Linked DNA regions of Cricetulus griseus. The protein of the gene in region 1 interacts with the protein of each later gene in a pairwise test. Links are inferred from orthologs where the notes say so. Each region holds a gene or a part of one and is shown in the gene's direction. Other genes may lie near its edges.

Evidence for each region.
Region 2: the proteins of Stx16 (region 1) and Vamp5 interact in binary tests that used the Homo sapiens proteins (3 or more experiments, as listed by UniProt). The two-hybrid records come from large-scale screens. The link is inferred for Cricetulus griseus from reciprocal best matches to the Homo sapiens genes STX16 and VAMP5.

The regions. Positions count from the first base shown.
Region 1 is NC_048599.1:5,006,015-5,010,262, reverse strand, and holds the start of Stx16 (syntaxin-16), read left to right. Parts: upstream 1-1,363; 5' UTR 1,364-1,653; coding exon 1,654-1,785; intron 1,786-3,416; exon of another isoform or gene 3,417-4,077; intron 4,078-4,248. UniProt on the Homo sapiens protein: SNARE involved in vesicular transport from the late endosomes to the trans-Golgi network.
Region 2 is NC_048601.1:64,109,823-64,114,135, reverse strand, and holds the start of Vamp5 (vesicle-associated membrane protein 5), read left to right. Parts: upstream 1-1,398; 5' UTR 1,399-1,541; coding exon 1,542-1,544; intron 1,545-4,313. UniProt on the Homo sapiens protein: May participate in trafficking events that are associated with myogenesis, such as myoblast fusion and/or GLUT4 trafficking.

The DNA.
Region 1 (4,248 bases):
CAGATCTGTCACCCGGGCTTGCCGGTGGGTCGCTCTGCTCCAGGGATGCGGCTGGAGCAGCCCTAGGGGGCCCCTCGGCGAGTCCCCCTAAGCCAAGACAGAGTAGCAGTGAGCCAGATGCATGGTTCCACGGACTGGCAGGCGACCCGAAGGCCCAGCTCGATGCAAGGCAGGCATAGCAGCAACACAAAGCTCTTTTGGGGGGAGTGAGAGTGAGGGAGGGTCTCCCAGTTAGCAGAAACCTCCCTGGCAAGCACAACGATGCAGTGTCCCCTACGGAGTGTGGCACCTAAGGGTGGGGGTCGACGTCCCCCTGACTGTCCTCAGCAAGGCGTGGAACTCAAGATTTTTTTTTTCCTCCCTGTTCCTTTTTCTCGCCTGGTTGTTTTTTGGATACTTTTCTTTTCTCTCTCTCTCTCTTTTTTTTTTTTTTTCAGCTTTAAAAAAAAAAGAAAAGAAAAAGGCACAGCCATCTCAGCAGCGCCAGCAGCCTGCAGTGGAGCGTGCCCGGCCTGCAGAGGCACTGTCTCCTGCCTTTTCCTCCGCCCCCGCGCAGGACTAGGCTCTGCTAGAGCCACACTCTTGTTTGCTTGGCAGTTCTACTAGAAGTTTACAGTTGTCTGGACCCCAGCAGTGATTTTCGGCTCCAGGGCCAAGTTTTTGAAGTTTTCTTTGGGCCAGGATGCCTGTCCCAGAGTCTGCACACACTTAGGAAGAGGGAAACAGGGCACCCCGGGAAATACCCCAGAGAGGGCGGGGCGCTCCCACCCCTGGGGCAGGGCAACAAGGGAGATCCCTCTCCCGGAACGTTACAAACAATCCTCATGAACATCGCAGGGGGGCACCCGCGAGGAACGGACAGGAAGAGGGCTGGGGAACGCTGAGCCCGGGACCACACGCGGAAGCGGCCCTGGGGCAGGGTTGCAGCCATATCCCGGGATGGAGGGTGCCGGCCAGGAGGAGTGAGGAGGCCGGGGTGCAGGCCGTGAGGTCCTGGTGGAGGGAGGCCTGCAGCCTGCGGGCCTCCGGGGAAGCAGGGGTCGGGTCGCCCTGAGCCCTGGGAGGCTCTGAGGACTCGGAGGGAGCTGCAGACGCTCGCTTGGAGTCCTGGGCTCAGGCCTGCTCGTGGCTGGAGCAGGCCTTTTGTGAGGAGAGTTGACCAAAATTCGGAGTTAGAGCCACATGCCAGACACGCAGGCGCTAAGCGAGTGTGTTTCGAGGCCCAGACGTCAGGGGCAGTCTCAGGAAGCGAGTGGGCAGGGGTCTTGTGCACGCTCCCTCCTGATTGGTGGGTTAGACGCTTGCAGATCCGCCGCTGGATTGGGGAGGGGTCTCCAGGACGTTCGGTTTCTATGCTAGGATTGGGGGGATTCTAGTGCTTAGAGATCCGAGCCAGGGCTGGGGTAGGGGGAGCCAGACAATTGGAAAGCCTAGGTGGTTATTTGGGGAGGGGTCTCTGCGCTTTGGCGGAGCGCAAAATTGCACCTTTTTTTTTTTTTTTTTTGTGGCCTGAGGCCTTGTCAAGAGAGGTTTCTAAGAAAGGGTGGACCAGCCAGGCTAGCGTGAGAGAAAGAAAATAAAAAAAAAGAAAGAAAAAAATCAAGACTATAAGGGGGTGGGGGACCCTGAGAGGGGGGGTCACAGAGGTGAGACATGGCCACCAGGCGTTTAACCGACGCTTTCTTGTTGTTGCGGAATAATTCCATCCAAAACCGGCAGCTGTTAGCCGAGCAAGTGAGTAGTCACACCACCTCCAGCCCTCTGCATTCACGTAGCATTGCTGCGGTGAGTCTCCCGGCGGCCTCTCCAGACACACACACCGTGTGCACTGCGGCTCTGCCTGTCTGTCTGTCTCTGTCTGTCTGTCTAAAAAGAGAGAGAGAAAAAAAAAAAAAAGGAAGAAAAAGAACAAAACGACGACGATTAGGAGTGATACTTAAGTGGAAGGGCTCCCTGGTCAGGGGTCATGGGGCACCTACGACCCCCAAAGGGGACCACAGTATCAAGCCCTGCTCTGCCTTACTCACTCACTCCATGGCCTCTCAGTCCTCAGTGTCACAGCACGACAGGCAGCTTCAGTTTACATGTGTTTTAACCACGAGGACTTGGAATCTAGGCCTTTCTCCAACCTTCTTTTTGTTTTGTTTTGTTTTGTTTGGAGTTCTCCCCCCCTACACACACCTCCTGCAATGGCTTCACTTTGGTTCTTTGGGTCAGGTGGTTGGTTAGCTGACTCAAACCCTTGCAAAGGGAACTCTCCCCCCACCCCCACCCAGGAGGGAGTTGTGTTGTGTGTGTGTGTGTGTGTATTAGGGGTGTGTTGTGGTGTGTGTGTGTGTGTGTGTATTGGGGGTGTGTTGTGGTGTGTGTGTGTGTGTGTGTGTGTGTGTGTGTGTTGTGGGAATGGGGGTGTTGTGGGGGTGGGGGTGGGGGTGTTGGGTGTGTGTGTTGGGGGTGTGGGTGTTGGGGGGTGTTGGGGGTGGGTGTTGGGGGTGTTTGGGGATGGGGATGTGTGTGTTGGGGGGGTGTTGGGGATGGGGTGTGTGTGTTGGGGGGTGTGTTGGGGATGGGGATGTGTGTGTTGGGGGGGTGTTGGGGATGGGGATGTGTGTGTTGGGATGTGTGTGTGTTGGGGTGTGTGTTGGGGGATGTGTGTGTTGGGGGTGTGTGTTGGGGATGGGGATGTGTGTGTTGGGGGATGTGTGTGTTGGGGGGTGTGTTGGGGATGGGATGTGTGTGTTGGGGGGTGTTGGGGATGGGGATGTGTGTGTTGGGGGTGTGTGTGTGTGGGGATGTGTGTGTTGGGGGGTGTGTTGGGGATGGGGATGTGTGTGTTGGGGGTGTGTGTTGGGGGGGTGTGTTGGGGATGGGGTGTGTGTTGGGGGGGTGTTGGGGATGGGGATGTGTGTGTTGGGGTGTGTGTGTGTGTTGGGGGGTGTGGGGATGGGGATTTGTGTGTTGGGGGTGTGTGTTGTGGGAATGGGGTGTTGTGGGGGTGTGTTGTGTGGGTGTGGTTGTGTATTGTGTGTGTGTGTGTGTGTTGTGGGGGGGTGTTGTGGAGGGGGTGTGTACTCATTTTCTCTTCTCACAATTTTTCTTCAAATGGCCCCAGTCCTCTGTGTAGCCACGCCCCCCCCAGGAATAATTGTGCTGCTGTTTTTCCTGGGCTCGTGCTGGTGAGACTGCAAGGTGCTCGGCCCTTCCATTTCCCACACAGGAAATTAAGCTTCCCCTCCATTCGAACTTTTTTAAAAACATGATGTGATGTGAAAATTAACCCCCCAAAATAGCACCCAGCTTTTGATTTTATTGACCGGAGCTTCACTTGCTCCAGCAGTAGTGGGGTTTGTTGTTGTTGTTCTTTTTCAAAGCAGTGTTCCAGAAAGATTGCTGTATTTGGTTTGTTTTTGATGCAGGCTTTGACTTCCTGAGCCTCAGTCTACCTCCCTGTCAAATAGAGGTTGGATGTGAATGGGCGTCAGATGAGTATTTATAATAACCTTAATTGAAAAGGGAGGTTTGAGTCGGAGCATAGGGGAATGCACAGTCACCCCAAGCCCTTAGGAAGTTGTATTTGAAATGCAATGTGTGAAACCCTGCGCCTTTCCCACCTTTTAGATGCTGGATTGCCTTTTAATTTTTTTCTTTTATCGTTTATCAAAGTGATAATGAAAAATTAAGCTCTGTGTCGTGATTGTCAATGTGTTGCCAAGACAATTGTCCCCTTTTTAAGTCACCATGAAAAAATTTTTAAGTCACCGTGGAAATTATGCTTGGCCATATTATTCACAGAAAAGGTATTTGAAGCCGTGTGCGCCGCGGGCGCCGTTTTGGGGGGGTTAGGTGTATGAACTTGGTCACAAGGCATAGGAAATTGCCCCCCAAGGGGGCAGGGGCTTTTGTTTACATTTATATTGAAGGGTTTTTACTTGTAAACTGAAAGACATAATATTACATAGAAATAAAAAAAAAAAATCTCAGCATGGAGATGGGTTCATTCTAACATGGCTTTTGAAAAGAAAGGGTCTCCAGAAATAAACAGAGACATAGTGAGTGGCAGCGGAATGAATACAGCTGGTGAGTCTTCCGTTATGTTAATAAGAGTCTCCTGTTCTTTATGTCTTAATTTTATGCAACCTCATGGAGAGGGGGAAAAATAGCCTAGCACTAAACCCGTGCTAAAGCTTCTAGGGTCTCAATTTTAAGTGATAGAAGATATTGTTTGATTTTTTTAAATTTAATTCTGTA
Region 2 (4,313 bases), on another chromosome or scaffold:
CTCGCTCTGGAGACCAGGCTGGCCTCGAACTCACAGAGATCCACCTGCCTCTGCCTCCCGAGTGCTGGGATTAACGGCCCAACACCCGGCAGTAATTTTTTTTAAATTACTTTTTCTTTAAATTATTTTTTTTCTTTTATGTGCAGAAATGCATCACTTGAATATGTGACTATGTACCACATTCATGATTGGTGCCCTTGGAGGCTAGAATAGGCATTAGATCCCCTGGAGCTGAATTATAGACAGCAGTGAGCAGAAATGAGGGTGATGAGAATTCAATCTGGGTCCTCTGGAGGAGCAGCCAGTGCTTTTAACTACTCAGCTAGCTCTCCGGTCCCACATTCTAGTCTTTGATTAAGCACTGGGCGATGGGCCAGTGAGATTAAGAAAGAGGACTGTTTGTTGGCTCCTCTTTAATTTTTCCCAGTTATGCAAGAAAAGCTGCAGTATCCTCATCATCACTCTGCTTCAAAATCTCCATCTTTCTGACCGGGGGAGAAGTCCCCATGGCCGGCATCAGGAATCTAAGGGGAAATTGTATGTTCTCAGGCTGGATAATCCCTGTTTGTTTTCCGACTGACTCCTAAACTCACACTATGAGGCTCTTCAGGGCCTGCCATGTAGTTTGTCTGTGTTTTATTCTCTGGGAAAGGGAGTCATTCTTTGCTTGAGTACTGCTCTGGAGGCTGGCTCAAATCTTCTCTTTTTCTTCCTCTGCCTCTTGCTGGTTCAAAACTTGGTCTGGCTGCTGTTGTCATCTTTTATTTCAGGCTGGGATCCATCCCAGCAACTTTAGAGGCTCATGCATCCACACACCACTGAGACTTTTAGCTCACAGGAATGTCGGCAGAATTTTAGCATTTAAAAAATCGCCCCCCCACCTCCTCCCACCCCGGTGTATGGAGGTCAGATAGACAACTTGCAGGAGTTGGTTCTCTCCACAATGTGAGTCCCAGGGATGGAACTCTGATAATGCAATAGATTTGGCTTCAAGTGCCTTTATCCACTGAACCATCTTGCCAGACCTCAATTTGTCTTTTTTAAGTGTACAACTTGGCGACATGTGATGTATTCAGAATACTGCCTGCTCCGTCTGAAAACAACCAGAACTTTGGAGTGGTTGATGTGTTTTCAGTTTTGGGTGGCATGCACTCACCAAGGTGGCAAGCACCCATCCTGGCATGTTCATGACATCCGGAGCACTTAGCACTCACAGATGCTTGTCGTATGACAGAATGACGCCTCCCTCGCTAACTCCTGTTGCAGTCCCAGATCCAAGAGACATCGGTCCCCAATTTACCAGGCTGGGGTGTCATCGGAAATCGGACGCTGGTGGCCCGGTAGGAGGCGCCCCACGGACCCTGTTGCTGCTTTCGGTTTGTCTGGGTCGGGCACCTCTCTGAGAAGGCGCCCCCCCTCCGCCCCCTTGGCCCGCGGGCCCGCCCCGCCCCGCGGCTTCCTCCAGGGCCGCGGGCACTGAGGCCACGCCGGGCAGAGGAGCCGGAGCCGGCAAGCAGGAGGTGGCGGTGGCTGCGGAGGCGATGGTGAGACGGGCAGGGGCAGAGGGCGATTATGCAGGGGTGTGATGTAGGAGCCCGAACCCCAGGGGTGCGGGTCACGCTGGTCGCATGAGCCAGACCCCAACTTTGCAGGCAGCCGGGAAAGGAGAATCAGAGTGCGCCCCGTCGGTGCGGAGTGAGCCGAGCTGCGCTTCCCACGCTCGTGCGGCAGTTAGCAGCTCCCGGCCATCCCGGGCAAGTCACTTAACCTCCATGAGCTTCCTTTTCCGTGCCATAAAGTAGGGGCAGCAATACCTACCTTAGTGGGTCCTTGAGAGGTTAGAGGAGATGTTTATGGTTGCTGCTGCCAGGCACTCAGAACCCTTTGCTAAGAAGTAGCAGGTAATGCGATGACCTCTGCGGGCTCTTCCCCGGGGGCTGAGAGAAGCCAGAGCTGGCCCAAGGGTTGGAAACCTGAGTAGATGCCTAGTGGAGGCCTCTCTAGGCTGGGTGCTGAAAGATAAACACTTTCCCCGGGGAAAGAGAAAATAAGTTGTTTACTATAAAAGTTTCATGAAATTATCAGTGTGACACAGGCTGACTCTTTCCTAACCTCTACCTAATGACATAATCCTGGCTTGAGTCACCTATACTCCTGCTGCAGACCTGCCATTTCTAAGGCAAAGGTGTCTGAGACCTCTGATGCCAGGATCCCCCTCCCCTGGGACTCCTGGGGAGATGGACCAGACTGAAAGCAAGTTTAGTACTCTAAGGCTGGATGGATGTGGCTTGGCTAGAGATGCCAATGTCTGGATGGCTTCATCTCTAGGGAACTAGAGGCAGGAAAGGGAAATGGGACAGGAAGGTAGCCCTAAGCTGTGAGGCCACACCAGGAAACTGAGGGAGGCTCTGAGAATGGGCTGGAGTTAAGAGCCCACTTCCGAGAGTGCAGGGTAAGAGCTGGGAGGAGATAGGGGGTGGACTTCCAGCTGGCCCTCAGCTCCTGGGGAGAAGTTCTGAAATGAAGGCGAGCTAGGCTAGTTATCTGACTGTACAGAACCTTGGGATGCTCACAGGTGCATTCCAGTCAAAGGGGGTTCCGAGCCTGGGGGATACATTGTTCCTCCAGCTCCATCAGCTAACTCTTCCTCCCTTCTTGTCCCCTTTTCTATCTCCAGCTCTTTCCCTTCCGTCATCCACCCCTCTGACTACCTAATTACTCCCACCCCTTTCCCCTTCCTTCTCTTCTCTGTGACTCATTGGGACAAAAAGGACACAGCATTTCTTTTGTGCCACTAGCACAGGACAAAGCAGTGATAGGGAAGATGGAAAGTGAGCAATCATTTTTGGCACGTGTACACGTGTTCTGTGCATGCTTATTCACATGTGTGGGCACACACATGTTTAGGTGCACATGGAAGTCCGAGGTTGATGTCCAGTGTCTTATTTAATAGCTCTCGGATTTATTTATGGAGACAGGGTCTCTGGCTGAACCTGGAGCTCACCAGCTTGTCTAGTCTAGCTGACCAGCTAGTCCTTGGGAGCCCCTGTTTTTGGCATCTTGAGCACTAGGATAACAAACAAACTGCTTGGATTTTGTGTGGGTGCTCAGGATTCAAATTCTGGTTCTCATGCTAGTGCAGTGGGAGCTTTATTTATGGAGCCATCTCCCTAGCACCATATATCGTTTTTTTAAAAAGATTTTATTGTGCTAGGTGGTGGTGGAGCATACCTTTAATCCCAGCACTCCAGAGGCAGAGGCAGGCAGATCTCTGTGAGTTCGAGGCCAGCCTGGGCTACAGAATGAGTGCCAGGACAGGCTCCAAAGCTACAAAGAAACAAGAAACCCTGTCTCGAAAAACAAAAAAAGCAACCAAAGATTTTATTGTATGTGTATGAATGTTTGCTCACATGTATGAATGTGCACCATGTACGTGAGTGCCTATGGAATCCAGAAGAGGGTGTTAGATCACCTCATACTGTAATTGTAGATGGCTGTGAGCTGGGAACTGAACCTAGGTCCTGTGGAAAAACAGCAAGTACTCTTAACCACTAAGCCATCTCTCCAGCCCCACTATAAATACTTTTAAAAATTACTATCTTGCTTGTTTGTTTTTTGGGAGACAACATCTTATAAAGCTGAGCCACCATGCCTGATTGGAATGAACTCTTTTGCTATAAAGCCCTTAAACTGCCTGTATAGACAAAGCTGTCCTTGAAGTTGCAGCAATGCTCTTGCTTCTACCTCCCAAGTGCTGGGATTACAATTATCTGACACCATGGACAGCTATAGAATAATTCTTTTTTGTTTTTGTTTTTTCTTGAGACAAGATCCCACTCTGTAGACTCAGCTGGCCTTGAACTCAGCCTACTGAGTTTTGGAATTAAATAGGTCCACAACTATGCTTAGCTGAAAATAATTCTTGAAGCCATTCATCTGGCAGAATTGGTGTGTGTAGTCGCAAGCTGAGTTGGCAGCATCAAGTGGCTGGCAGTCTTCAGCCAATCAGCTGGAGCTTCATACTCCCCTCTCTCTCCATATCTGGTTTAGCACAGGGTTTAGACTTGTGGCCCCTGGGTCTCTGACCATTCTACCCTCAGATTGGTTACCTACTGGCTCTGGACAACTTAACACCTCTGGGCTGTAAAACAGGGACAATAATATTGTCTTGAGTGGGTTCTTATGAAGATTTAGCCAGATGCCCACATGCACAGCTAGCTCAGTGCTGGGCAAGTTATGTGCTCACTGAAAGGTGGCTGTAACTATTGCTCAGGACTTAAGGCCTGTAATTCCAAAACTTGGGGGCAGAGACA